2 linked regions of the Macaca fascicularis genome follow. The protein of the gene in region 1 interacts with the protein of each later gene in a pairwise test. Links are inferred from orthologs where the notes say so. Each region holds a gene or a part of one and is shown on either strand. Other genes may lie near its edges. The genes, in order: TROAP and DYRK1B.

Region 1 (14,659 bases):
TCCTGGTCAAACAACCGGACGGCAACCTGCTCCTGTCACCAAGGAACAAGGCACACAAGAAAGCCAGGATGGGGCAGGAGAAAGACCAGCCTGAGTCCCACCCTCATGAGGAATAGATTAAAGCCGCTGACTGAGAGGCCCTAGATGTACATTAGGAGTGGCAGCAGAGAAGCAGGGAGAGTTAGGCAGCTTTTCCAGAGAGCATTTTCTAATTTTTTAAATTTTTAGTAGAGACAGGGTCTCACTATGTTGCCCAGGCTGGTCTCAAAGATCTGGGCTCAAGCAATCCTCCCACCTCAGCCTCCCAAAGTGCTGGGATTACAGGTGTGAGCCATCATGCCTGGCCCAGAAAGCACATGTGTCTCAAACTCCTGGGCCTTCAGGCTGGCAGCACAGGGCAAGGAATCTCAGTAGGGGGAGCCTTCTGATACTTACCCAGGGCAGGGCAGGATCTTCAGAGCAGGACTGAGGGGAAACACCACTCAGCCACCGGGCCTGGCACAGAAGTGAGATGTCAGCAAGGCCTGACACCCACAGGTGGCACTCAACCTCCCCTTGCTTCTGTCTTCTCTCTCCTGTACCCATCCATCTCCTTTCTCCCCTAGCTGTGGCTTCTGCCAGCCACCTCCCCATGCCCTCTCTTACCTGCTGAACTCTGGGGGTTGATGGCATGGGCGTGAATCGGGTTTTAGGTTGAATGGTGAGACGCCGCAACACTGAATATGAGGTCTGGGGAGAGATGTGGGTGGCTTAGCAGACCTAGCAAGGATCTCTGGCCAGACTGTTCTGCCCCTGCCCAGCCCCCAGCTGTTGACACAAACCACAGTTGGAGGGCCTGGGGAGGGTACACGCTGAGCCCGTCCAAAGGGTGATGGACATGGCACCACATGGCCAGGCAAGGGCTGGGCCACAGGGGCAGGGGAGGGCATCAGGTGGGAGTCACGGCTGTCCTGTGAAGAAGAAAAAGGTGGAAGAGTGATCCCTGCCCCCTCTGTCTTCCTATATCTTGTTCTCACTACAGCAGCCAGCGTGATTCTTTTAAGACCTAAGTCAAGCCAGGCATGGTGGCTCAGGCCTGTAATCCCAGCACTTTGGGAGGCCAAGGAGAACAGAGCATCTGAAGTCGGGAGTTCGAGACCAGCCTGACCAACATGGAGAAACCCTGTCTCTACTAAAACTACAAAATTAGTCAGGCGTGGTGGTGCATGCCTGTAATCCCAGCTACTCAGAAGGCTGAGGCAGGAGAATCACTTGAACCTGGGAAGCGGTGGTTGTGATGAGTGGCGATCATGCCACTGCACTCCAGCCTGGGCAACAAGAGTGAAACTCCGTCTCAAAAAAAAAAAAAAAAGACCTAAGTCAAATCATGTCACTTTCTTGATCAACCCTTCTCCCCATGGCTTCCCACTACTTCCAAGAAAAGCCAAGAACTTACACTGGTGTACAATTCCTTACCCAATCTGATTGTGTTATCACTAAAACCATATCTCCTACCGCTCTCCTTACTCTGCTTCAATCTCACTGGCCTCTCCTTTTTGCGGATCCTCAAATATGCCAGGCACATTCCCTCCCCAGGGCCTTTGCCTCTTCAGTTCTCTTGGCCTGGAACATTCCTTCCCCCAGATATCAACATATCTCACTCCTCCTCCAACCCCTGGTCTTCACTTAAACATCATCTTCTCAATAAGAGTTCCCTGACCAATCTATTTTAAATTGCAACACCAACTCCCCTGCTCCCAATTCCCCTTTAGTGCCCTATTATTTTTATTATTTTTTTATAGAGAACTTACAGTCATCTGAGACACTATTTTATATATGTGTTTATTTCTTATCTCCCCCTTCTAGAATATGAACTTGTTTATTGCTGTATGTCCAGAGCCTAGAACACGGCCTGGCACTCAGCAGGCTGGTGCTACTCAGTAAATATTTGTGAAGCGAAGGGATGAATCCTTTTGGCTGACAAGTGGCAGATCTGTCTCACCCTTAGCACTGATCTGATGGTGATACAAATATGATCTCTCACCCCAGGCCCTAGACATTTGATAAAGAGAGGTCAGTTTCACATTGGAGAGGGACTGGGTGCATCTGGGGTAAACCTACCCAATAACATCCTGAGGCCCAAGACTGCCTGGCTCTACCTACAATTCTCAGTGTTGGCTGCTGCTGCGAAATTCTCCCAAGCATCTCCTGCACCTCCCACCCACCATCCCAGGAGAGTTGCATCTCACCCTGGTATGTGTCATTTCTCGGTTTTCTCTTAATGGTACTCGCTGGGCCAGACCAAGAGAGGCCACACTTCCTTCATCTGAGCGAGTGACAACCTCATGTTCTCCTTTAGGGAGAGAGAAAGCTAGGAAGAAACGGGACATTTGTTGTAGACTCTAGAACACCCACCAAAGTTTGGCACAGGGTTCTACAACTTCTGAAGAGGGTATATTAGTTTAATAGCCCCCATTGCACTATTAGGGACAGGAACCCATCCAGCAGCCCCTCAACACCCAACACTATCTCAGTAAACACTTACTAATCTGAACGTCTGAGTAGGCTGGGTATGTGGTGATGGCACTTAGGGGCTGGGGATAAACAGTGAGTGGAAGATAAATCTTGCAGGAAGTGGCAGAGAGAGGGCCGAAATGAAGACCATCTCCTTTGACACAAGTGCAACTGTGCCAACCTCTGGCCTATCTAGAAAGTCTCTTCTTCTTCTCCTTCTGACCTAGCCTCCCAGCCTCCCACTTTCTCATGCTCCCTCCCAGCCTGCTGAGTTTTATCTGATCTTGTTCCCTGCTTCAGGCAGCCCAACTGCCCCTGTGCTCTCCCCACAGCCAGACACACTCACCAGGCTGGACTGGGGTCTCCAGGAGCAATCCTGAGGCCTGGCTCACTGAAGTCCTGATGACAATAAGGACAGTAGCCAGCAGTCACTGAGTACCAAGTATGAGCTGGACATGTGCTAAGTGCTTTACAAACATCATCTCATTTCATTCTCATGACAATTTCTAATGATGATACAAATGTTATTCTCACTTGACAAAGAAACCAAAGCTCAGAGAGGTGAAGGCAAGCTTGCACAACTAGTAAGTGGTAAGAGTTAGGATATAAACCCAAATCCCATTTATTGCCACAGTCTATACTGTAGCCACTAAACAAAAGAGATAGCACATTTCTGTCCTCCCTGTCCCCCCATGACTTGAAGAAACTGATGTCACACTGAGGCCTGCCTGTGAAGGCCTGAACCCTATCCCAAGGGCTCATCCTGGGTAATCACAGGTTTCTTGCTTCCCCTTCAGAGTTGGTGGGGAGTCCTAAAGCTACTGGAAGGCCCCAACTCTGGGGGACTCCTGTATCAGACACTGGTTCATTCTTTTCCAGATGACCTTCTCCCACACCCTCTCCTTTCTCACCGGCTGCTGCCAGCTGTCTCCCTTCTTAGCTCCTGGAAACTGGGGCGAGTGGAAGGGTGAAAGGAAGGTCCTGAAGGTGAAATCTGATCCACAGGAGCAAGAGATGAAAACGGAATCAGAGGTGGACCCTAAACCCTCAGGCCTCACCACCAACCCCATCTCCCCCAATAGGATCCCTTGCCTCATCATGAGGTACTTCCTCTCCCAAAGGCCAGCTTTGTCCCTGGAAGGAGCTCCCAGAAGCACCAAGTATCAGGCCTCTCAAGGGCACTCACCAGAGCCTGTAGCCTCTGGGGGCACAAAGTCTGGCCTCGAGGTCCTGGTCCCTCCAGCCTTGAGAAGCAGGAAGCCCTGGCAGGGTCCAGTCGGTGAGTGGGAGTTCTGGGGGCCAAATATGCAGAGGCCCGAACACCCTGGGACACCAACAGAGGCTGTCAGCACAGCTCAGGATGCCCACCTCAGCGCCCCCAGCCTGGTCTCCTCACATCCTGTTTCATTACCTGGCCCCTCTGGGTGGTGCCTCCCTGACTTCCTCGAACCAGTACTCTCTTAGCAAGACTAGGCTGGCGCCCCAGGTGACAGCTCTTCACACCCTCACCTGACAGGATGGTGGCCAGGGCTGCAGGGTCAGCCACAAACTCTATGGTCCCTGGAGCCTCTGCAAGGAAAGAGAAGGAAAGGTAAGAAGGAACAGGAAGGGGGAAAGCTGAGGGGGATAGGGACCCTAGCATAGTCACTTTGAGATACAAGGTGAGCAAAAGAGACTCATTCAATTGAATTTGGCTTTTTTTTTTTTTTTTTTTAAGCAATAGATGGCTGGGCGTGGTGGCTCACACCTGTAATCCCAGCACTTTGGGAGGCTGAGGCAGGTGGATCACTTGTGGTCAGGAGTTTGAGACCAACCTGGCCAACATGGCAAAACCCTGTCTCTACTAAAAAAATACAAAAATTGGCTGGGCATGGTAGCTCACTCCTGTAATCCCAGCACTTTGGGAGGCTGAGACGGGCAGATCACCTGAGGTCAGGAGTTTGAGACCAGCCTGGTCAACATAGTGAAACCCCATCTCTACTTAAAAAAAAAAAAAAAAAATTAGCTGGGCATGGTGGCACACACCTGTAGTCCCAGCTACTCAGGAGGCTAAGGCTGGAGAATCATTTGAACCTGGGAGGTGGAGGCTGCAGTGAGCCAAGATCATGCCACTGCACTCCAGCCTGGTGACAGAGCGAGACTCCGTCTCATATAAATAAATAAATAAATAAATAAAGCAAACAAAAATTAGCCAGGTGTGGTGGCAGGTGTCCGTAATCCCAGGTACTTGGGGGAGGCTGAGTCATGATAATTGCTTGAACCTCGGAGGTGGATATTGCAGTGAGTTGAGATCATGCCACTGTCGTCCAACCTGAGGGATACAGTAAGACTCTATCTCCAAAAAAAAAAAAAAAAAAAAAAGAAAAGAAAAAAAAAAAGAAAAACTAAAAAGAAATGGGGTCTCACCATGTTGTCCAGGCTGGTCTCAAACTCCTGAGCTCAAGTGACCCTCCCGCCTCAGCCTCTCAAAGTGTTGGAATTACAGGCGTGAGCCACCACACCTGCCCACCAAATGTTCATAGAATGTTACATAAGACACTATTCTAAGCATTGGGGTCCCATAAGAATAAGACAAAGCCCCTATCCTCAAGAAGCTATCATCAAACTATAGACAGGTAACAGACTCAAGCCAAGGTATATACATGTTATAAAAGAAGTACTGCAAAGTATTAGGAGAACAAGTGACATGGGGAACTGGAAAAGGCTTCAGAAGAAGTGACATTTATTATTTATTTATTTTTTTTTTTTTTAAAGAGATAGGATCTCCCTCTGTCATCCAGGCTAGTCTCCAACTCCTGGCCTCCAGTGATCCTCCCGCTTTAGCCTCCTGAGTAGCTGTGATTACTGGTACAACCCATGGCGCCTGGTGAGATGACATTTTGCTGGAGGAAAGGGAGATCTTCTAAGAGCAAAGAGCTTTCCAGGAGGTGGAACCAGGACTATCACAGTAAGCAGGAGACAGCAGGAGTGAGTGCAAAACCCCAAAACCCCACTTTTACCCTTCCTAGTTCCCTACTCGGCCATGGAGGCCGTGTTACCAGGGCTCCAACAGGTACCTGTCTGGGCAGGGGGCCCAGGCCCCACATTTTGACCCCTAGGGCTAGGCCTGAGCTCCTCCAAGGGGTTCCGAGGCTGAGGGATCCCCACCAATCTTTGTGATGTCTCTGCCTGGTGCTTGGCTTTGGGCCTAGGGCCTGCTGAATCAACGAGGGGGCGTTGAATATTGAGCGGTGGTTTCTGCAACCATCTCTAGGGGAGGGAGGGGGGACAAAAAGGTGAGGTTTAGTGTTGGGGTGCATTACTGGTGTGACTACTGTCTTCCCCCATTAGGCCGCTCTTACCCTTGGATCTTGGTTCTCCTGGTCCAGGGCGCACGATGTAACAGTGGGGAAAGGCGTGCGTTTCTGAGAGCGTACCGGAATCTTGCTAGGGGTAGGAGATACACCCCGAAGGAGGGGATCCCTCGTGGCTTGCCGGGTGGTCATGATGGCTACAGTTGAGACGGGGAAGAAGGCAGGTAGAATCGGAGATCAAAGATCAACCAGTTCTCGGGGCACCTGTCCTGCCATCCCTGATACCTCTGCCCTAATCCACGCGCCCACAAGCCCCCGGCGCCTGCAAGACCGCTCTTATGGGTGCTACCTCCAGACACCCCGAAACTACTCTTTCGCCCTCGGACCTCGAACTGCCCTCGTCCCTATGAGCCCAGCAGCCCTCGTTCCCTCCAAGACCCCCGTGCCTCACCTTACCGAGAGCCCCTCAGGGCCGACCCAGCTTCCTCCGCTTTTCGCCTGACTCTCTCGGATACGGCTGGAGCTACTTCCTCAGTTTGTAAAATACGCCAAGCTCCTGATTGGCCCGGCCGCGCTCCCGCGGAGGCCTGTGTAGCCAGACTCAGCAGTCCAATCCGCGGGCTTCGCAGGAGGGGCCAAAAGAAGGACCAATTGTCGAACCGCTTTCTGGCCAGGAAAAAAAAAAAAAAAAAAAAAAAAACTGACTCGGCTCAATCAGCCAATCCGAGAGTGGAGCGCCGCTGGAAGGCGGGGAAAGAGGAAGGATGGGGCAGTTCCGAGGCCGTTCCGAGGCCGGGGAAGGCGTAGCCATGGGAGCTCTCGCGAGGTCTCGGGACCGGCGAGGGGCTGGCCATTGGCAGAAAGGGGCCGTCGCGGCCCTGAGAGGACGGTTGCTTGTTCTGATTGGTGCCAACGGTGTTGAAGGCTGGCCTGTGCCCCCCACCCGGCTTGACCACAGCCCTGCGCCAAGCTTTGGGGACGCCATTCCAGATACCCATAGAAAATATCTGCGTCCGGGCGCGGTGGCAGGCGCCTGTAATCCCGGCACTTTGGGACGCCGAGGCGGGAAGATCTTTTGAGCTATGAGTTTGAGACCAGCCTGAGCAACATAGCGAGACCACTCCCACCCCTATCTACAAAATAATAAAATAATAATAATAATTCCTGTGCAGTGGTGCGCGCTTGTAGTCCCAGCTGCTCTGGAGGCTGAGGCAGGAGGATCGTTTTGAGCCCAGGAGGTTGAGGCTGTTTGAGTTGTGGTCACGCCACTGCACTCCAGCCTGGGCAACAGAGAGAGACCCTGTCTTAAGGATAAATACATAAATAAATAAAGAGGGAAAGAGAGAGAGAACATCTGCACGTTGTCTCCAAGATAAGGAACTGCCTTCAAACAGGCAGAGGGCTGAAGGGAATCGAACTGAGCCTAACAATATGTGTGCTCCTTGGAGCCTCACAACCCAGTGAGGTGTCTGGTGAGGTGTCTTTCATTTCACGATAGGTAACAAGACTCATTGTTTTTGAACTCAGTTACCACAGCACCAGAATTGAATGACTACTCACAGCTGGGCTTTCCTTGCCTCCAGGTAGCCTTTTGCAGATCTAGAGGTCTGGGGAGAGGGGGCTCACCTGCTGGTTATTGGTGGGCAGAGCTGTGAGACTGAGAGATCCTAGAATATCCTGCTTAAGATGGACGGGGTAACCCCTAATGGGGGACAGGAAATGAACACCACTTTCAAGTTGACAGAACTCTGGTGAATTTTCCCCACCAATCACAGAAGTTATTCTTACACAAGTCAGAAACGAGGAGTTACTCCTTAAGTCCTCCCACTCCCTTTACATATCCCGTCTCTCATTCACTCTCACTAATTTTACTATTTATGCATTTTTGAGACAGGGTCTCACTCTGTCGCCCAGGCTGGAGTGCAGTGGTGCGATATCAGCTCACTGCAGCCTGGACCTCCTGAGTTCAAGGATCCTCCCACCTCAGCCTCTCACCTGGGACTACAGGTGCCCCCCACCAGCTAATATTTGTTTTTTTGTAGAGACAGGATCTGGCTACATTGTCTAGCCTGGGGCTGCAGGTGTCCTTCCCAGCACTTTGGATGGCCCAGGCAGATCTCTTGAGGCCTGGAATTCCAGACCAGCCTAGACAATGTAGCAAGATCCTGTTTCTGTAAAAAAAAAAAAAAAAAAAAAAAAAAAAAAATTAAAGATATGTAAGGTATCTTTACTAATTGTATGTATCTTTAAAATTCCTCTACTTTCAGGCTGGGCACAGTGGCTCATGCCTGTAATCCCAGCACTTTGGGAGGCCAAGGCAGGTGGATCACCTGAGGTCGGGAGTTCAAGACCAGGCTGACCAACATGGAGAAATCCTTCTCTATTGACAACACAAAAATTAGCCGGGCTTGGTGGCGCATGCCTGTAATCCCAGCTACTCAGGAGGCTGAGGCAGGAGAATCACTTGAACCTGGGAGGCGGAGGTTGAGGTGAGCTGAGATCGCACCACTGCACTCCAACCTGGGCAACAAGAGAGAAACTCCATCTCAAAAAAACCAAACAAACAACAAAAAAAATTCATCTACTTTCGGCTGGGTTTATGCCTATAATCCAGCACTTTGGGAGGCCAAGGTGGGCGGATCACCTGAGTTCAAGAATCTGAGACCATCCTAACCAACACTGTGAAACCCTGTCTCTACTAAAAATACAAAAATTAGCTAGGCATGGTGGCTGGTGCCTGTAATCCCAGCTACTCAAGAGGTTGAGGCAGGAGAATCGCTTGAACCCAGGAGGCAGAGGCTGCAGTGAGCAGAGATTGTACCACTGCATTCTCCAGCCTGGGTGACAGTGAGACTCTGTCTCAAAAAAGAAAAATTTTCTTTCTTTTCTTTCTTTCTTTCTTTCTTTCTTTCTTTCTTTCTTTCTTTCTTTCCTTTCTTTTTCTCTTTCACTTTTTTCTCTCTTTCTCTTCCTCTCACTCTTTCTTTCTCTTTCTTTTTCTTTCACTTTTTTCTCTCTCTTTCTCTTCCTCTCTCTCACTCTCTTTCTCTCTTTCTTTCTTTCTCTCTCTCTCTCTTTCCCTCCCCTCCTCCCCTCCCCTCCCCTCCCCTCCCCTTCCCTTCCCTTCCCTTCCCTTCTTCTTTCTCTTGAGATGGAGTCTTGCTCTGTCACCCAGGCTGGAGTGCAGTGGCCTGATCTTGGCTCACTGCAGCCTCCACCTCCCAGGTTCAAGCAATTCTCCTGCCTCAGTCTCCTGAGCAGCTGGGATTACAGGCGCCAGCCACCATGCCCAGCTAATTTTTGTATTTTAGTTGGGACAGGGTTTCACAAATGTTGGTCAGGATGGTCTCGAACTCCTGACCGCAAGTGATCCACTTGCCTTGGCCTCCCAAAGTGAGCCACCGGCCCATCTACTTTCTTGTTCTTTGTTAGCACCACCCTAATCCACCTCAGTTTCACCTAGGCAATTGCAAGAGTCTCTTAGTTGGTCTCCCATCCCTTAGTCTCTCTTTCTTTTCACACTCTTCCATTCTCCATATAGCAGCTAGAGTAATCTTTCCAAAATGCACATCCAGTCAGGCTACCACTATCCCTTGACCTCTCCCCACTGAAACCTTCCATCTTCCACCACTCTTCCCCTTCTATTAATACCTCCAACTTCATGGCTTCTTTCAATTCCTCAAGTTTGTCCTGATTGCTCTATATGGTCCCTGTTTCTGGAATGTCCTTTTCACTTCCACTTTGCCTATTTATGCCTCCAAATTGATTTCCATTGTTATTTCCTCAGGCCTTCCTTGAACCCCTTTACCTACCACCCACCCCAATCTAGTAAAGACCTCTTGGCTATGTGCTCTCAAAAACTAATGTTTGTTTCCTCAGAGCATGTATATTAGTTGGTAATTATATATTTATCAATGTGAACATAATATGTTTACTAAACTCAGTTTCCCCCAATAGACCTCCAAGGAGATGATGAAGGTAACCCTCTATTTTTGGCTTACCATCATATCTTTAGTACCTTGCATTATCCTTCGTAAAAGTGCTCAATCCTTGTTGAATGAGTCAATAGACAGATGAATATATGATTGAATGCATCAACAGGAAAGACCTCCAAGAAGAAATAATGTTTGAACTTCCTCTTTAAAAAAAATTTTAAGGTCAGCCTTGGTGGCTTACACCTGCAATCCCAGCACTTCGGGACACGAAGGCAGGCGGATCACTTCAGGTCAGGAATCTGAGACCAGCCTGGCCAACTTGGCAAAACCCCATCTCTACTAAAAATACAAAAATTAGCTGGGTGTGGTGGTGCATGCCTGTAATCCCAGCTACTCGGGAGGCTGAGGCACGAGAATCACTTGAACCCAGAAGGGGGAGGTTGCAATGGGCGGAGATCATGCCACTGCACTCTAGGCTGGGGGAGAGAGTGAGTGAGACTTTGTCTCAAAAAAAAAAAATTTTTTTTTAATGTACACTTTTTTCTTTTTTGTATAGAGATGGAGTCTTACTATGTTGCCCAGGCTGGTCTCAAACTCCTGGGCTCAAGCCATCCGCCTGCCTCACCTTCCCATAGTCCTGGGATTACAGATGTGAGTCACCATGCCAGCCTGCTTTTACTTTTTTTTGATTAACTCTGTTTTCATCCTTATCACTACATATAATCTAATTCATTGCTTATAACTGCTACATAGGATTCCATGGTAGGCATCCATTATACTTTACTTACCCATTCCCGACTTCTATACACAATGCCAGACAGTTATCTCTTACATAGTCCCCTGTGAGCCAGTTCAAGAATTTCTCTGGAACATATTCCTCGGAGTGGAATTTCTGTGGTAAGGTATGTGCATGCTCAATTTTACTAAGTAGCATCAGATTATTTTTCAGAAAATCTGTAGCTATAAACCGGGCATGGCATGCACTTGTAGTCCCAGCTTCTCAGAAGGCTGAGGTAGGAGGATTGCCTGAGCCCAGGAGTTTGAAGCCAGCCTTGATAACATGGTGAGACATTCTTTAAAAAAACCTGAAAAACAAAACAAAACAAGAAAACCCAGGTCTGTAGATGTTTACAGTATCAACATTATTACTGTCAGTTTTTATTACCTCAGACCCTTCCCAACACTTAATATTATACAACTCTCTAATATTTGCAATTCTAATGTGTATATTAAGTGTACTCTTAGTTATTTAAAATTACATTTCTCTGATTACTAGTGAGTTTGAGTGTTACTTCATATTCTTTTTTTTTTTTTTTTTTTTCTTGAGATGGAGTCTCACTGTGTTGCCAAGGCTGGGGTGCAGTGAAATGATCTTGGCTCACTGCAACCTCAGCCTCCTAAGTTCAAGTGATCCTCCTGCCTCAGCCCCACTAGTAGCTGGGATTACAGGCATGTGCCACCATCCCCAGCTAATTTTTGTATTTTTCATAGAGACAAGGTTTCGCCATTTTGGCCAGGCTGGTTTCCAACTCCTGACCTCAGGTAATCCACCCACCTTGGCCTCCCAAAGTGCTGGGATTACAGGCGTGAGTCATTGCACCTGGCTATTTCATATTCTTATTAGCCAACAAAACTTCCTCCTCTCTGAAATGCCTATTCATATCCTTTGTGCTATTTTTATTTTGGATTCCTGTCTTTACTTTTGTTCCTTCATAAGATTACACTATATTATGAATATTAATCCCACATTCACTTTTTAAAAAATTATTTTATTTTATTTTATTTTATTTATTATTGTTACTTTTTGAGATGGAGTCTTGCTCTGTCGCCCATACAGTGGCCCGACGTCAGCTCACTGAAACCTCCACCTCCCGGGTTCAAGTGATTCTCCTGCCTCAGCCTCCCAGGAAGCTGGGATTACAGGCACACGCCACCATGCCGGGCTAATTTTTGTATTAAGGTTCTTCAGAGAGACATAACCAACTGGATATATGAGAGGGGATTTATTAGGGAATTAGCCACATGATCACAGAGGCAAAATCCCATGATAGGCTCTTTGCAAGCTGGGGAACCAGAGAAGCTGGTAGCATGGCTCAGTCCAACTCCAGAAGCTTCGGAGCCAGGGAAGCCAACAGTACAACCCCCTAGTTGGAGGCCAAAGGCCTGAAGACCCCTGAGAGGCCACTGGTGCAAGTCCCAAAGTCCAAAAGCTGAAGAACCTGTAGTCTGTTGTACAAGAGCAGGAGGAGAAAAAACAGATTGCTCTGGAAGGGAGAGTTTGATAATTCCCCCACTTCTTCCTGTTTGTTCAAATCCACCCCAAGCGGTTAGATGATACCCACCCACACTGAAGGCAGGTCTTCCTCTCTCAGTCCAAGGACTCACAGCCAATCTCCCCTGCAACACCCTTACAGATACACGCACAAACAATGCTTCACCAGCCATCTAGGCATCTCTCAATCCAGTCAAGTCGATGCCTTAAATTAACCATCACAGGGCCTGAGGGTTAGGTGGTCAGAATGTATCAAGGTTGGGCTGGGCACAGTGGCTCATGCCTGTAATCCCAACACTTTGGGAGACTGAGGCAGGTGGATCACCTGAGGTCAGGAGTTCGAGATCAGCCTGGCCAACATGGTGAAACTCCTGTCTCTACTAAAAATACAAAAATTAGCCAGGCATGGTGGCGGGAGCCTGCAATCTCAGCTACTCGAGAGACTGAGGCAGGAGAATCACTTGAATCCAGAAGGCAGAGTTTGGGGTGAGCCAAAATCACACCACTGCACTCCAGCCCGGGTGACAGAGAGAGACTCCCTCTCAATAAATAAATTAATTAATTAATTAAATTAAATTAAAGCATACTGAAATATTTGAGGCAATATATTATCAATTTGCTCTCAAATGGTTGAGAAAAAATGTTATGTGTATCCTTGCAAATGTTCTGTAAGTTTAAAATGGTTTCACAAAAACAGGGAAAAAAGTTACTCTTTGGAGAAGCTTCAGATGGTTTCCCACAAGTCAAGGTTGTTCCAGCACTGTTGCTGTTAATATTGGAAATTTTCTATGATGGTGTAAGAAAAAGAAATCAACAGAATCAGGGTTGGGCACAGTGGCTCACGCCTATAGTCCCAGCACTTTGGGAGGCTGAAGTGGGTGGATCACCTGAGGTCAGGAGTTAGAGATCAGCCTGACTAACATAGTGAAACCCCATCTCTACTAAAAATACAAAAGTAGCCGGGCATAATGGTGCATGCTTTTAATTCCAGCTACTTGGGAGGCTAAGGCAGGAGAATCACTTGAACCCAGAAGGTGGAGGAAATCACATCATTGCACTCCAGCCTGGGCAATAAGAGCAAAACACCATTAAAAAAAAAAAATCAAACAAAACAAGAAAAACAAAAAATCTAACAAGGTATAAAGATTGAAAGGGAATATGTAAAACCGTTTTGTTTACAGAGGACATAATTATCTCAGTAGAAAACCTAGAAGAATCAATAGAAAAATAAGAAAAGAGTTCATTGGATAGAAAATCAATTATATTCCCCCACTAAGAAAATATTTGCGGCCGGGCGCGGTGGCTCAAGCCTGTAATCCCAGCACTTTGGGAGGCCGAGGCGGGTGGATCACGAGGTCAGGAGATCGAGACTATCCTGGCTAACATGGTGAAACCCCGTCTCTACTAAAAATACAAAAAAAGACTAGCCGGGCGTGGTGGCGGGCGCCTGTAGTCTCAGCTACTTGGGAGGCTGAGGCGGGAGAATGGCGTGAACCCGGGAGGCGGAGCTTGCAGTGAGCCGATATCACGCCACTGCACTCCAGCCTGGGAGACACAGCGAGACTCCGTCTCAACAAAAAAAAAAAAAAAAAAAAAAAAAAGAAAATATTTGCAATGTGGCCGGGCGCGGTGGCTCAAGCCTGTAATCCCAGCACTTTGGGAGGCCGAGACGGGCGGATCATGAGGTCAGGAAATCGAGACCATCCTGGCTAATACGGTGAAACCCCGTCTCTACTAAAAAATACAAAAAACTAGCCGGGCGAAGTGGCGGGTGCCTGTAGTCCCAGCTACTCGGAAGGCTGAGGCAGGAGAATGGCGTGAACCTGAGAGGAGGAGCTTGCAGTGAGCTGAGATCTGGCCACTGCACTCCAGCCTGGGTGACAGAGCAAGACTCCGTCTCAAAAAAAAAAAAAAAAAGAAAAAGAAAATATTTGCAATGTTTAAAGTGGATATGGGGAGCCAGATGCGGTGGCTCATGCCTGTAATCCCAGCATTTTGGGAGGCTAAGGTGGGTAGATCACCTGAGGTCAGGAGTTCAAGACCAGCTTGGCCATCGTGGTGAAATGCCATCTCTACTAAAAATACAAAAATTATCTGGGCCTGGTGGCGCACACCTATAGACCCAGCAACTCAGGAAGCTAAGGCAGGAGAATCGCTTGAACTCGCAGTGAGCCGAGATTGAGCCACTGCACTTCAGCCTGGGCGACAGAGCAAGACTCCATCATAAAAAATAATAATAATAATAGATTGGACGCGGTGGCTCACACCTGTAATCCCAGCACTTTGGGAGGCCAAGGTGGGCGGATCATCTGAGGTCGGGGGTTCAAGACCAGCCTGATCAACATGGTAGAGATCAACAGCCCCATCTCTACTAAAATACAAAAAATTAGCTGGGCATGGTGGCGTGCACCTGTAGTCCCAGCTACTCAGAAGGCTGAGGCAGGAGAATTGCTTGAACCTGGGAGATGGAGGTTGCAGTGAGCCGACATTGCACCACTGCACTCCAGCCTGGAGACAGAGCAAGACTCTGTCTCAAAAAAGTAATTAATTAATTAATATAATAATAATAAATAAATAAAATAAAGTGGATATGGGGCTGGGCGCAGTGGCTCACTCCTGTAATGCCAGCACTTTGGAAGGCCGAGGCAGGCGGATCATCTGAGGTC
Region 2 (14,650 bases), on another chromosome or scaffold:
TCTGTCCTAGGTATCATTTACAAATGGGAGATCTCATCAGCACTTGCCTCCTAGGATTGTTCATTCAAGACATTAGTTACTGAGCATCTGCTCTATGTGCTGGAGATATCCCTTCCCCACTCCTCCCTGCCTCCCCCTCCCACACAGCCTGTCAACCTTCTGGACGTCTCTCCCATCCCCTCTTGCCCTCCCAACAGTGACCCGTGCCCTGATCCATTCCCAACATCTCTTGCCTAGAAATCTATCACATCTGCCACCCTGGGTTGCCCGATCCCAGTCACTTTCCTGCTAATCTATTCTCATGTCACAGCAAACTGGGCCGTACCCCTTCCCCACTAAAAATCCTCCCATGGCTCTTCATTGCCCTCAGGACAAAATCCAAGTTCCCTAAATGGTCAAGAAAATCTTCCACATCTCATTCATAGAGAACTTTCAGTATGATCACCAACATCAGATCACCTGCAGTCCATGTTCACACATCAAGCTGTTTCTGTCTTTGCTCAAGCCATTCCACCACACCGCCCCCGACCCCCCAAAACATCCTTCCGTCTTCAGGTCTCAGCTCAGACAGCTCCTAGTCTTCCGGGATGATCTTCCTACCAGGGCCTCCTCGGGTTCCCACCGCGTTCCACGCCGCCTCCATTAGTGAACATACATAGGTCCACGACGGGGTCCTTGCCTGTCTCTCCCGCTGAGCGGGGCTTCCCGCAAGCCGGGCCCGGCACAGCAGCCAGTAATGTCCCCGTGCTGGGGCCCCTTCAGGCCTCGGCGTCTACCGCCCACTCCGGAACTGTGAGCGACAACCGGCACGCTCTCCCGGCACGGCGCCGCGCCCACCTTCCGCACACCTCGAAGACCTCAACACCTGCGCCAAAGCCACCCAATCACGGTCTTCTCTCCACCTCCTAACCACCACGAACATCCAGGACCCGGATACCTCAGACTGCTCATTGGCTGCCTGAAAACCCGCCCCCAAGCCTGAGCGAAAAGAACTCTGGTTGCTGTAGTTCCCCGACACCGCAGAAAGCGACTAAGTAGAACTCCATTTCCCAGAAAGCGCCGCGCCCCAGTGGTGGGAGACGGTACCCTTTGAACTGGGCAGTTCTTGATTGGCCGGTTGGGAGACGTACATTTCCAAATTACCATGGAAACAGGACCACTTACCTGGAACCCCGGGAAAATCTTTTTTCCTTAGAATCTCAACACTTTGTTTCGCGATGATTCCAAAGGGTTGGATAGTACACATGTGGGGGCAGAGTCTGTACCTATTGTCTGCCTATTCCCCAGTTGGCGCCAACAAAGCCTGCTAAGTGCACTCAGCGGCTACTGGACGCCTGCTTGGCCTGAGGAGCCACTCCTGTGCTGGCTCTGCGGACGCCCCGGCTTATTAGGGCACCTGTTTCCCAGAGACAGGCCAGAGCTGAGCCTTTACCCTTTCAGTCTGTTTACCCAAGAAAAGGCAAATGTAGGCCAGGATCCCATCCACGATCAGGATCCCATCCACGATCTCTCTAGAATGCTGGTGCCCCAGACCTGCAGCCCCATGCCTGCAACAAGAGCCACAGCTTCCCCACAAGAGACGTCTCCACACCACAGAGCTCCTCCAGCACCCCCTCCGCAAACCCCCTTCCCCACCACGCCTCTGAGGGTCAGGTGAGGGGAGCCGAAGCCCTGCAAACGCTCAGGCAGGCATGTGAGAAAGCTCTTTACTGGGGGTACAGCGAGGAGGAGCAAGGCCATCTCCCCCTACCTGCCCCCACCCCCTCCTAGGGTCCTGGGGTGAGGGGGGTCTTCCCTCCACCGGACCACCACTGTCTTTGGTACAATAAATAGAAAAAAAGGGGGAGAGGGGCCCAAGGGTCCAGTCTTTAGTGGGGAGGGAGCGGCCAAACCCCTCTCCTTGACCCCCCTGCCCCAGGCCCCAATCAGTGCAGGCCTCACCCACCCCAGCTGGGTAGCAGCAATTCCAGTCAAGGAGAGAGATGAGGATGGGAGCCCAGGGCCCCCAGATGGGGGGGGTATGGCTTCAGGAGGGGCCCCAGGGAGGGGGCAGGGTCATGAGCTGGCTGCCGTGCTCTGGGGTACACCACGGAGGCCCAGGTGAGGCCCCAGAGTGGCAGGGTCATCAGGAGGCGGGAGGGGTGGACGACCTCCCGTCATCCGAGTCCGGAGGGCTGAGGCAGCCGGGTGCTGGGGGGCAGGCGCTGGGTGAGGTGGGGAGCAGTCAGCAGGCCCGCCCACCAGGCTCACATCCATCAGCTCCGGAGGCGGTGGTGAGGTTGGTGATGGGGGACGACCAAGGTATCGGGGCTGGGGGGGTAACTGGGCCCCGGTCCCAGGCAGTGATGAGGCAGAGGCCGGGGCTTGATGTGTCTTGTGGGGCACATCACCCCCTGCCCAGGGCCGCAGTGGCTGGGAGGGTGGGACCTAAAAAAGCAAAGGAGCAATGGATGATGGAGACCCCAGTCCTTAAGCCCCAGGCACCACCACCCACCTCCAAAGCCCCCAAAGCTTCATTACCTGGGGGCTGTTCATCTCACAGTCTGTGATAGGGGGCCCAGGGCCCCCACAATATCGGTTGCTGTAGCGATAGGTCCGGTTGTCACTGGAGGAGCCACTGGAGCCTCCTGGAAGTGCCAGGGAGGAGAGGTGAAGGGGCATAAGGTGAGAGAAGGTGGCAAGTGGGTTTTGGGATGGCTGAGTGAAGTTCATGGCCCAGGCTCAGGTTCAGGCTTCAAGATCAGAGCCCATCTGAAGAACCAGGCCCAATTTTGAGATTTTAGATTGGAATTCAGTTTTGGGTTTTAGAGTCAGAACCAGTTTCAGGGATCTGAGCCCAAGTCCAATTTCAGAGATTGTGTCAGGGCCAGCTGGAGCTCTCCCATCCCACACATCATCTTAGAGTTCAGGATCAAACAGTTTCAGAGCTCTTGTGTGAAGACCCAGTAACAAGGTCCCCTAGGACAAGCCAAACCTGAGCAGCCCCCACCCCTGTTGTACCCCATTTGGGCACGTGGGCACCCACCAGAACTGGAGATGGAGCTGGCGGTGCTGGAAGAGGGGCAGGTGTCGAGAGGCGCGGGCGAGGTGGAGGCACTGCTGCCTGCCGGGCCCGTGTTGGTGGCCTCGTCGGCCGTGCGGCGGAAGAAGCCGTGCTGCAGAGCCCCCAGGGGGCTGATGCGGGCGGCGGGCTCATACTCCAGCATGCGCAGCACCAGGTCCTGGAAGCGGAGGTAGTCGGCGGGGCTGTGGCCCGGCTCCCCCGCCCGCCGGCCCCCGGGCCCGCCCGTCTGCACGCCCAGCACCTCCTGCAGCCGCCGTGTCCCGGGGCCCTGGTAATCCTGGCAGGGAGGGGGTGGGAGGGGGGGCAAGAGAGTGGCCGTCAGTGGGCAGGAGGGGCAGGGAGACACACATGGGGAAACAGAGGCACAGGAGAGAAAGTGGAAAGAAAAGCTAAGAAGAGTTGTGGGGTGGGAAGGAGAGATGGGAGATGGGGTGGGCAGGGAAGGAAGGAAAAGACAGACAAGGGGGACAGGAAGGAAGGGAAAGACACAAGGGAGAGGGAGCAGGGGGAGAGAGCCCCAAGTGTGAGTGAGGGGCCACGGGGTGGGAGGAGTGGCGTGGGGCAGGGGCCGCACCTTCCTGAGTTCTTTTGTCCTTCGTAGGGTCCAGCCACCCCCAGGCAGCCGTTCAAAGTACTTGCGAGCCTTGGGCGCCTGGTCCAGCATGGCAGCCGGCGGGATGCCCAGCACCTCCACAATGCGGTTCATCTGGTCCACCTGTGAGCAGGCGGGAGTCAGGGTCATCAGGCCAGCCAGGCTCCACCCCCTCCACCTCCAGCACACCCCTTCCTGGGGGCACACCTCATTGGAGCCACTGAAGAGGGGCTCTCCGGTGTGCATCTCCACAAGGATGCAGCCCAGGGACCACATGTCAATGGCCAGGTCGTAGGGTGTGCCCAGGAGCACCTCAGGCGAGCGGTAGAAGCGGCTCTGGATATACTGGTAGATCTGGGAAAAGGGTCATCGTCAAGGGTCCCAGCCTCCTCTACTGGTCCCACTGACACCCCCAAAGCTAAGAGGACCCAACTAAGGACAAGCCTCTTGCTGACAAAATGGGGACTGAGGCTCCAAATCCTGCCATTATCAGCACCAGTTTTCTGGGAGCCACTGGTGCCATCTTGTTTATCAATCTGGGGAGCCTGCTGGCCTAAAGAGACCCTGATCTCCACCCCCAACCCCGATCCTGGGCCTTTCTGGGTCACCAGGCAGAGGCTGACATTCCACCAGCCCTATACTATTGTCATTTTTAGTGGCACCTCACACAGAGTTGCAAAGTTGAAGCCTTCCACCTCCCTCCCCGGCTTTAAGAACACAAAACACAAAAACTTAGTAAAGCAGCACCCAGGGCTCAAACCCAACCCAACTTTACCCTGTTCACATCTGGCAGCTTCAAAACGAGCCCTGCCCCCTCAGGCTTCACCCTCCCCATCCTAGTGGGCAGTACATCCACACCCCCACCCCAAGCACTATCCTTCACTTCCAGCAGTTCCTAATAATCCCATCCCAGCCAAGCCCCGCCCCTAAGCCTCCTGTTGGCCCTGCCTCACCCAAACCACTAGCCCTGCTCCCAGGACCGGGCTGCCCCGTACCCTCTGGCCAAGCTGGCAGGAACTGCCGAAGTCCACGATCTTGATGGCGCTGCGCTTGGGGTTGCAGAGCAAGATGTTTTCGGGCTTGAGGTCGCAGTGAATGATGCTGAGCTCAGGCGTGGCCAGAAAGAGCAGTGCCGTGCAGAGCTGCTGCGCCAGCTTCCGGGTCAGGTTCAGCGAGACGCCGCGGAAGTGGGTGTTGCGCAGGAGGTCGTACAGGTTGTAGGACAGCAGCTCGAACACCAGGCACAGGTGGTTCCGGAACATGAAGTGCCGCTTCAGGTGCACTGCGAGGGAGGGGAGAAAATGGGCCAGAGAAAAAATGGCTCAGAGAGGGCAGGTGGTGGCCTGGGGTCATACAACACTCTTTGATCACTAGCCACATGTGCTGTGCCCACGGGTACCATCTGCTAGTCAAGATCTTTTTATCTAACAAACAACTAGGTTCACACAGGAAGTTAACGCTCTTTCCAAGTCTCTGTCAAACCCTCCAATTAAACAAACGAGAAAGTTTCATTAGTTACTACTAGCTCTAACACATTCTACACTTCCTCCTTTAATTTCGTAACACTGCTTTCATCTCCCTTGTATTCATTTTTGTGGCAAAGGACACTAGTTTTCCATCTACTTTAAGGATGTACATTTTCCTTTCAAACGAAACCATTTTAAAATCCACTTGCTGTTTATGATTATGTTGTGATGTTTATGTCCATTAAGAGGAATCAGTTTAAGGGAGAAGAAAGACTGGCACAGATGTTAAGAGTAACACCTCTGGAGTCCACGGCCTCATCAAATTATAGCTCAATTAGTACAAACTGCCCCCTCATGCAAGTGACAGCACTTGAATCCCTGGGTTTCTTTTTTCCTTTCTTCGTTTTTGTTGTTATTATTGTTTGGTTTTTTGTTTGTTTGTTTTTTAAGATAGAGTCTCGCTCTGTCACCAGGCTGGAGTGCAATGGCATGGTCTTGGCTCATTGCAACCTCCACCTCTAAGGTTCAAGCGATTCTCCTGCCTCAGCCTCCCGAGTAGCTGGGACTACAGGCGCGTGCCACCACATCAAGCTAATTTTTTCATATTTTTAGTAGAGACAGGGTTTCACCATGTTGGCCAGGATAGTCTCCAACTCTTGACCTCATGATCCACCCACCTCGGCCTCCCAAAGTGCTGGGATTACAGGCGTGAGCCACGCACCCAGCCCATTTTTTTTGTTTTTGTTTGTTTTATTGAAGAAGAAACTAGGATGGAAGCCCGGGTTTCGTTTCTTCAAGATGTTGGTAATAATCCCCTTATGGGCTGTGGTGAGTTAACTTACATAAAGTGCTTCCAAGACAGCCTGGCCGTTGGTGAGCACTCAGTAACCTCTGACCACTACCAAGTAAATAGGACAAAAACCATAAAAGCAGCAGGAGAATCACTGATGTCAGTGAAGCACAGATCAAACCCTGCTCTGAAGATGTCAGCCTCCTCCTGAGGGTGGGGCAGGGGTGTGACCCATCCCTACTGGCTCCAGCTCCCGCTATCCCAGGTGCCCACAGCCCTGCCAGTCCCGGGCCTCACCTATGTAGTACTTCATCTCGGTGTCATGCTGGTTCATCAGCTCCAGCAGCCGCAGCTCAATCTGGGCCTGGTTCAGGAAGGCCTTTTTGTTCTTGATGATCTTGATGGCCACAAGCTCCTGGGTCTGATGGTCATAGGCTTTCACCACCTGTTGGGGCAGGGCATGTCAAGAAGAAAGGGGTGGGGGCAGGGCAGAGCCAGGCACCATTCTCCTCCCTCCAGGCAAGGAGGCCCACCGAGAACATTATGCATACTTCGCAGTTGAGTGCACACCATTAGTCAGGCACTGGTGGAAACGCTGGACGTGAAATAACATACCACCTTATGTTGAGTCTTGTTATTTAAACTGTTTTACAGAAAAGGCAACTGAGGCACAGGGAAACTAAGTGGGCTAGGGTGAGTGGCCCAGCATGGGATTTGAAGCCACTGAACCACTGGGTATGTGGTCAATGTTAGTGGGGCCTTGGATCAGGGTGGGAGAGGGGGGTGTCCCACACCTGGCCAAAGGAGCCTTTGCCAATGAGCGAGTCAATCTCATAGCGCTCCAGCCAGCGCTCGCCACTGCGCACGATGTAGTCATGGTTGTCGTCATCATAACCATGGTTCAGGACCTTCTTCTCCTTCTTGGTGCTCGAATCCTGGGGTGGCACCTGCTGGGCCCGCCGCTTCTTCTTCGCATAGTATACCTGCCCAGCCAGCCAGGCAGGAGATGGGGACTGGTGAGTGACTCATGCCAGCAGCCAAGACCCTCGGCACCCAGCCCAGGATCCCCCAGCCCCTGCCCACCTCATTGATGTGCTTGTAGGTCTTGATGAGGTCCACAGAGAGCTTACGCAGCGGGGCTGAGGTTGCATCTCGGAAGGCCAGGGGCAGCCTCCGAGGCAGTAGCCGCACATCAGGCAATACCTGCAGGGCAGGGTGAGGGGTGGGCACTGAGGGCGGGCCTTTACCTCCAACCTCAAGAGGAAGAACTATAAGGGCTGCTCGCGCATCATGTATTTGGTTGCTGTCTGTATTTGTTCCACCCATTTAGGAAAGAAACTCCCCCAGGGCTGAGACTTTCTCTTGTTCTTACTGTACCTCCAGTGCCTAAAGCAGGGCCTGGCACACAATGGATACTCTTTCAGACCTGTGATGTGAATGAGTGAACCCTGACCTTTCACCCCTCACCTTTACTCCTTTCTGAACCTCAGTGGGAGAGATTATATGGAAAATCTGGGCTCTGTTCCTCCCCATTCTTCACTGTGAAGCCAGCCATTCTGGGTATCCTCTGAAGTTCCTCTATCTCAATTTACCCTCATCCCTTGGGCCCCAACCCATACCCCCACCAACTCTTTGCATAGTTCTTTCACTCCAAGACTCTTGGATCTGATCTGGCCCCTGGACCTCCCACTCCATCCTGCTTCAAGCTCTGCATGTCACTGCCTTCACTGCCTCCAGCCTTGGAGAGCTTTGCCCTGCACCACCCATGCCTCTTGGACTCAAGACCGTTTAGACTCAACCCCCCTCCCCATTCACCCCCTCCAGATCTTTCACTCTGAACTTTTCTTAGTGAGCATTTATTGGGTATTTACTATGCGCCAGGCACCATTCTAAGCATTCTACATGCATACCATTAACTCATTTAATCCTCACAACAACCGTGTGAGGCAGGTATCATTATTGGCCCCATTTCACAGAATAGAAAACTCGAGTATGGAGAATCTAAGTAATTTAATCACTGGGTAAGCATTTGAACCCAACCTCTCCAAACCCTGACTCTGCCTGAAAACTCCTCTGTTATTTTCCAATCCCATGGGACCCATTATGTGCCCAGGAGACTGTCTTGGGCAACCACACTACATTTTGGTCTGGAGACCCTTCTATCCCCAGCCTCCCCCTACCACCAGGCAGGTGAGGAGCCAGCTGAACGCGTACCTGCGTGTGCTCCTGGGGCCCTGGGAAGCCAGAGAAGGGACCATGGCCCGGTGGGACGGCCATGGTGGGCTCAGAGGGCCGCAGGGGAGCGAGGCCTGGAGCGGGAGCCCGGCCGGGGGGCGCCTTCTTGCATCCTGCACCTCGGCTGCCACCGCCGCTGACACCTGAGAGCAGACAGGCGGTAGGAAAACAACATGGAACAAGGGATATGTGAATAGTGCCAGGCGCGGAAGAGGTGGGCATGAGAAAGGCAGGGAACAGAGAGAAGAGGAAAAGGGCACAACGGAGCAACAGGTAGCAATGAAGAAAAGGGGCAGAGAAGTGGCAGCCAGGTGGGGGGTGGCACAGCAGTCCCTTGACAAATAATGACCAAGTAAATGATTAAGGCAGCACAAAGAGAACGCATAAAAGACAATGATTGGGGGCCAGGCAGGGGTTGATATGAGCCATCACAGGGAAAGGAGGACAGGAAGACACCAATAATTCGGAGGAGGGAAAGAAAAAAGATAGAAACCACAGACAGTATGCAGAGGAGTAAGCTTCATTCTTTTCTCATTACTACTCATGGCCCTCCCCAGGGCCCCTAACACAAGATCCCACCCTTCTAAAGTCTTCCCTGAACATTAGGATCTCAGCCCGTAGTACAGCAAGGGCCACTACTTCAAGATCTACCCTTCTCAGTAGATTCCCTCAGCCCAGAGAACTCTAGGATTTCCAAACCACATGAGTGTTCCCCTCCCAAACCACAGCAGAATCCTCTGCAGCCCTAAAACCACATCAGCGTCCTTAGGGACCTCCCAACCACACCAAAGTTATCTGAGAACCTCTACAGAACAGAGTCCTATCTCTACGGCATTCTCATCTACCAGGGCACAACTTTCCTAGGGGACCCTCTCCATATCATGCCAAGACCGCTTCCCTATATCAGGTCCTCCATATTAGGAACCAGCCTTCCAGGCAGTCTCCCTGTACTATATCCCAATTCCCCCTGCCACAACAGGGCTCTTCCCCACATTACTCCAAGACCCCATCCCAATCAAGGCCCACTCCTCCTGATGGGAGGTGTCTCTTCCCACAGTTTAGAGTGATCTTTTCTCCCCTACACTGCTTCCTTGCCCCCCTACATACACACACACACACTGCCTAATATTCCTACCAGACACCTTTCTCCAGGCACCCCTCTTTATACCAGGGTCATTCCACAACTGAGTCCACTCCTACAGGGCCTCAAAGCCAAATGCCCAAGTATCACATAGGGTTCTCTCCTCCCAGAGTTGTCAGCCACAGCAAAAATCTCCCCAATGGGCCATTTTCTCCCCCATGTCAAATCCTTTTCTCCTATTCCATGCCTCGCCACTCCACGACTCCTCCACCCTTGGAGCTTCCCCCCAAAACAACCTCTTTTCCGGGGCCCTCCCACACCAGGACCATCTCTCCCAGCCCCCACCCCCTACCCGGGTCAGGGCTGGCGCGGGGCCCACGGGGGGCTGGGGCGCGGTGGGGCCCCCAGGCGGGTGGTCGAGCGGCCAGCATGGCGGCGGTGGCAGCGCTGAAAAGGCGACCGCCTGTCCCTGGCCCGGCCGGCCCCGCGGCAGGGAGGGCAAGCGGGACGGGCGGCCCGGTGGGTGACAACAGCAGCCGCCGCTGCCACCAGGGGCGGGGAGAGGAGGGGACAAGGGTCAGCCCGGGGCACGAGGGGGAAGAGTAGAGCAGGTGGACGGGGGAGGGGCGACACGCCCCACCCTGAGTGGCCACCAGCCCCTAGGGACCCGGCGTCCCGCCCCCCACCCAGGAGGCCCTCCTGGGCCTGCCGAGACCGGCAGGCGGGGCCCGACTGAGCTTGGCAATCGGCACCTGCCATGGCAACAACTGTGCCATTGGTCGCTGGTGCCAAGAGCTCAGCCAATCACAGCCTAGGGCAGCTGTTGCTAGGCAACGAAGAAGCGGCCCGCGGAGCCGAGCCCAAACAAAGGGCGGGAGTGGGGCCCGGCTACCCCCTCCCAGCCTCCCTCCTGCAACTGCTCCCTCGGGCTTGGCCGGTTCCAGGAATTCAACTATGAATAGCCAGGCAGGGCCCGCACCTGCCCGCCACCCCCCTCCTCTCCTCCCTTGGCCTCGCGCTAAGTCTCGCGGCGACGCGGGCAGGGCGGATCCCGTCCTGCCCACCTCCCTGCGACCGCCCCACCGTCCCTGCGCCGTTACCTGAGGGAGCGGGCAAGGGGACTCAAACTGCTCGGGGAGCCCGAGCTCAGACCTGCCCACTGGCTGAGGGTATCCGGCGGACGCGGCAAGCCAGGGCCCCGATTACCCAGTAATGCAACCAGCAAAATGGCGACCACAACAAACCGGCCCCCCCACGCCCTGGACTCCGCCCCCATCCCGCCCTCTCCGCTCCCCCCACGTGACCCAGACTGCCACTCCGCCTGCGCGAGACGGCCGCTTACCTGTACGCATGCGCAGTGAGCTACCAATCACACCCAAGAACTGAAATCCGGGCTGCGACTGCGCGAGAGGCAGCTACAAATGGAGCATGGGCTCTGTGACCGGGTGAGAATTTACCCCACGACCCCGCAAAGTTAACCAAGGGTGCATGCGCCCTGTGTCAGCAGGTCAAGGGGAGGAATGAGCAGCAGACATGGGAGACGGATGAGTCTTTTAATAGAAAAACACACGTGCAACAGTATCAACACACATCTCTAGCAATCCAGACAGCGCTGAACTTCAGTTCTTCACCTTGGGGGGTGGCCTGTGAGAGGAAGATACGTGATGAAGAAGGATCCCCAGGATCATGGCACTTGGGGTGCAAGGGACAGAGATGTCTGTCTTGGTGTATTGCTGGGCCCCTGCTCACCTGTACACTCCCACGACCACGGCATGGTCTCTTTCATATGGCTCAAGGGTCAACTGCTCCTGCGGCTTCATATTCTCCTGCTGCATCTTTTTCACTTCGGAGGCAAACACAGCCTCGGCTGAGGCTGTGGAGTCAATGCAGTTGGCCTAAAGAGGAGAAAGGACTGACTGATGTCCACAACAGGGCTTTGGGCTGTTTTCCTCTTGTGTGCTCTTTAAACCAGATGTTTTCATTATTAATTCAAGTAAAACTCAGTGCTGTGGTTCTAACGTGTCCCCCAAAGTTCATGTGTTGGAACCTTAACGCTTAAATGCAACAGAATTGAGATGGGCCTTTGAGAGATGATTTAGGTCATGAGGGCTCTGCCTTCCTGAATAGACTAATGCTATTATCACAAGAGTGGGTTCCTGATTAAAAGCATGATTATGCCCCCTTTCCATCTTGCTCTCACCATTCTGCCAATGGATGACAGCAATTTGGCCCTCGCCAGATTCAGGCCCCCAATCTTGGACTTTCCAGCCTTCGGAACTGGTAGCCAAATAAATTTCTGTTCATTATAAATTACCCAGTCTCAGGCTGGGCGTTGTGGCTCACACCTGTAATCCCAGCACTTTGGGAAGCCAAGGCGGGTGAATCACGAAATAGGAGATCGAGACCATCCTGGCCAACATGGTGAAACCCTGTCTTCACTAAAAATACAAAAATTAGCCGGCTGTGGTGGCACACACCTGTAGTCCCAGCTACTCGGGAGGCTGAGGCAGGAGAATCCCTTGAACCCGGGAAGTGGAGGTTGCAGTGAGCTGAGATCACAACACTGCACTCCAACCTGGCAACAGAGTGAGACTCCATCTCAAAAAATAAAAATAAAAAAAATAAATTACCCAGTCTATAGCATTCTGTGATAGCTGCATAAAAAGGGCTAAGACACTTGGGTTTAGGAAATGTGATAAAAGGCTTAATTAAAGAAGTTTCTGGCTGGGTTCATGCCTGTAATCCTAGCACTTTGGGAGGCTGAGGCAGTGAGATTGCCTGAGCTCAGGAGCTCCAGACCAGCCTGAGCAACATGGCAAAACCCCATCTCCACTAAAAATATAAAAGTGCCAGGTGTGGTGGCACACATCTATAGTCCCAGCTACTTGGGAGGCTGAGGCATAAGAATTGCTTGAACCTGTGAGGCGGAGGTTGCAGTGAGCTGAGATTGCACCACTTCACGCCAGCCTTGTGAGAGAGCGAGACTGTGTCTCAAATTAAAAAAAAAAAAAAAAAAAAGTTTTTAGTTTGCTTTGGATTTGAAGCAGGAAGCCTATTTATCTAAAAGCCAGTGCTTAAGTTTTATACCCAGGAATTGTTTGGTTTATTTCTACTTCCTCTTCTTTAATAATAGTAATAATGCAGTTGAGAATAATAAAACAAATGTAGTAAAAGGCTAACAAATGGTGAACCCTGTGAAGGGTGCATGGGGGAGTTCTCCATTATTTCTAAATAAAACGTTGTGAAAGATGCACCTAGCTTTTATCTAGTATCCTAGGCCAGGATCTTTTCTAAACACTTCATATATATTGACTAATTTGATCCTGTCATCCACCCTGAAAAAGATTAGACTAATATTTCTATTTTACAAGTGAGGAAACTGAGGCATATAGGTTAAGTAACTTGCTTAGTTTACACGGCAGGCTGGAATGAGATGGTCAGACTCAATTTTGCACTTGACCACTGCACTCTCTTGCCTCTTTAGATCCAAAGCTATAGTTTTGCAGACTTGGTCCCTCTCTTTTGGGTGGCTATTTGACAGATACAGATAGAGAAGATACCTCCCTAGAACACTGCCACCCCATCTTAGACTCCTCCAAACCCCGCACCTTAATGGAAATCACAAAGTGTCCTCCATTACGCAGGAAGGTGTGGGCATTCAGGGCCACAATCCGGGTCTGGTCTGGCTGGGCCACATCAGCAAAGATCACATCCACCATTGCTAAGGAGAAAGGGGCAGCAGTTACAAGTTGGAGTCACAGGGATCATCCCAGACCCTCCCAGGGGCCTATGCCCATCACCAGCAGGTTCCTGGGAGATTCTCCCTGCCTCCAGTTTCACTCCCCACCTCCACTGGTCCCCCTCCCTCCAGTATCCCAAGATGAGTCCAAAACCCACAGTCACATCATTCATCCACTCTTCTTGGAAACCATGGTTGCCACCTACTCTGTGGCCAGCCCTGGGCCGGGCGTGGGGGACATAGAGACGAGTCAGACCCGGACCCTGCCCTCGAGACGCTCCCGGGTCTGGTGGGGAGACAGACACGTCATCAAAAAGACAAGTAAGAGTGAGTGAGCACTTATAGGCAAGAGTGTCTGCAGGACCGTGAAATGAAAACAAGTCGCAGAACAAAGGGGATAGTATGAGTGCACGGGGGAAAAAAACACAGAAAGAAAAATGAGCAGAATGAAAAATAATGTATTTAAGGCAGTGTGACTTTTCAAAAATGAAAAGGTGGTATAATGAAAACTGATTACTTAAAACCTGGGAAAAGCAGACATCAAATTGTTCTCATCAGTTACCTCTGGGGGTGGTTTATAAGGCTTTTCAACTTTTATATTATACCTTTGAATGTTTTTTTAAACAAAGTCATTAATAGTCACAATGGACCCCTCTAGGTCAAGCCATAGCTCAGTTTGTTTTCTGGGCTATGCTCTCACCAGCCAATGATAAGGACCCCCAAAAGGAGGTTTTTAATGCAGGGGCAGTGTAATAAATACAGGAGGCAGGAAGTACAGGAGACCTAGGAGATGGGGAGGAGACTGAAGGAGAGGAGCTTGGCCCTCCCAAGGGTGGCTTCCAAGATTCTGAAGTCAAGCTGCCACCTCTACAGCTTCACCTAGCTCCCCTTACCCCTTTCTATTCCTGCAGACTCAAGAGGTCTGCTCATCCACTCCAACTCCATCTAAATCAGGGGTCCACTGGCTTCTTCCAGGAAGCCTGCAGTGGCCTGTCCTAGCCCACCGGGGCCACCCCCAGACCCCTCACCGATGAGCATGCGGTATTTGTGTGGGTGCCGAGCATCCTCGATCACAGGAATGATGTTGGTCCTCTTCTTGGCCAAGTTAATGAGGTCACGGCCAGAGCGGTGGGAGAACTCGACTGCATAGACTAGACCATCCTAAAATAAATTAAAAAGGAATCAACAATGATGCTAGTTCTCAGGCATGGAGTGCCTACTTTAGGCCCATACACTCTACACAGCATCTCTTCCAACCCCCAAATCAAAACCCTACCATATAATGACTATTGTTATCATGCCCATTTTATACATGAATACACTGAGGTCCAGACATAAAGTCACAGGTCAAGGGTTATTCAGCAAGTAGCAAAAGTACCCAATCCCATCTGCCTGAGAGCCCAGGCTCCCAACAGAGGCTTAAAGCCAGGAAGCCAAGGCACACAGATGATGTAACCATGGGCCAATCACTGCTGTGAGCACCTTTCAGAAATTAACTCATTTAATCTTCACAAGTCTATGTTCCAGAGAGGTAAACTGAGGCTTGGATGGATTAGGTAACTTGCCTGATTAAAGCCTGAGGGTTTGTTTTCTTGTTTGTTTGTTTTGTTTTGTTTTTGAGATGGAGTCTCGCTGTCGCTCAGGCTGGAGTGCAGTGGTGCAATCTCAGCTTAGTGCAACGTC

What was found.
Region 2: the proteins of TROAP (region 1) and DYRK1B interact in binary tests that used the Homo sapiens proteins (3 or more experiments, as listed by UniProt). The link is inferred for Macaca fascicularis from reciprocal best matches to the Homo sapiens genes TROAP and DYRK1B.

The regions. Positions count from the first base shown.
Region 1 is NC_088385.1:56,136,984-56,151,642, reverse strand, and holds the start of TROAP (tastin), read right to left. Parts: upstream 6,320-14,659; 5' UTR 6,243-6,319; exon of another isoform or gene 6,238-6,242; intron 5,984-6,237; 5' UTR 5,979-5,983; coding exon 5,835-5,978; intron 5,743-5,834; coding exon 5,550-5,742; intron 5,433-5,549; coding exon of another isoform or gene 5,313-5,432; exon of another isoform or gene 5,199-5,312; intron 4,063-5,198; coding exon 3,905-4,062; intron 3,818-3,904; coding exon 3,680-3,817; intron 3,488-3,679; coding exon 3,405-3,487; intron 2,893-3,404; coding exon 2,840-2,892; intron 2,351-2,839; coding exon 2,229-2,350; intron 951-2,228; coding exon 822-950; intron 730-821; coding exon 646-729; intron 496-645; coding exon 436-495; intron 33-435; coding exon 1-32. UniProt on the Homo sapiens protein: Could be involved with bystin and trophinin in a cell adhesion molecule complex that mediates an initial attachment of the blastocyst to uterine epithelial cells at the time of the embryo implantation.
Region 2 is NC_088393.1:46,946,479-46,961,128, forward strand, and holds DYRK1B (dual specificity tyrosine-phosphorylation-regulated kinase 1B), read right to left. Parts: upstream 9,729-14,650; 5' UTR 9,660-9,728; coding exon 9,581-9,659; exon of another isoform or gene 9,283-9,580; intron 8,291-9,282; coding exon 8,127-8,290; intron 7,116-8,126; coding exon 6,996-7,115; intron 6,896-6,995; coding exon 6,707-6,895; intron 6,358-6,706; coding exon 6,210-6,357; intron 4,939-6,209; coding exon 4,652-4,938; intron 4,011-4,651; coding exon 3,864-4,010; intron 3,780-3,863; coding exon 3,639-3,779; intron 3,342-3,638; coding exon 3,026-3,341; intron 2,628-3,025; coding exon 2,521-2,627; intron 2,428-2,520; coding exon 2,056-2,427; 3' UTR 1,693-2,055; downstream 1-1,692. Other genes in the region: FBL (rRNA 2'-O-methyltransferase fibrillarin), read right to left, coding at 10,848-10,872, 10,978-11,123, 12,837-12,949, 13,996-14,128.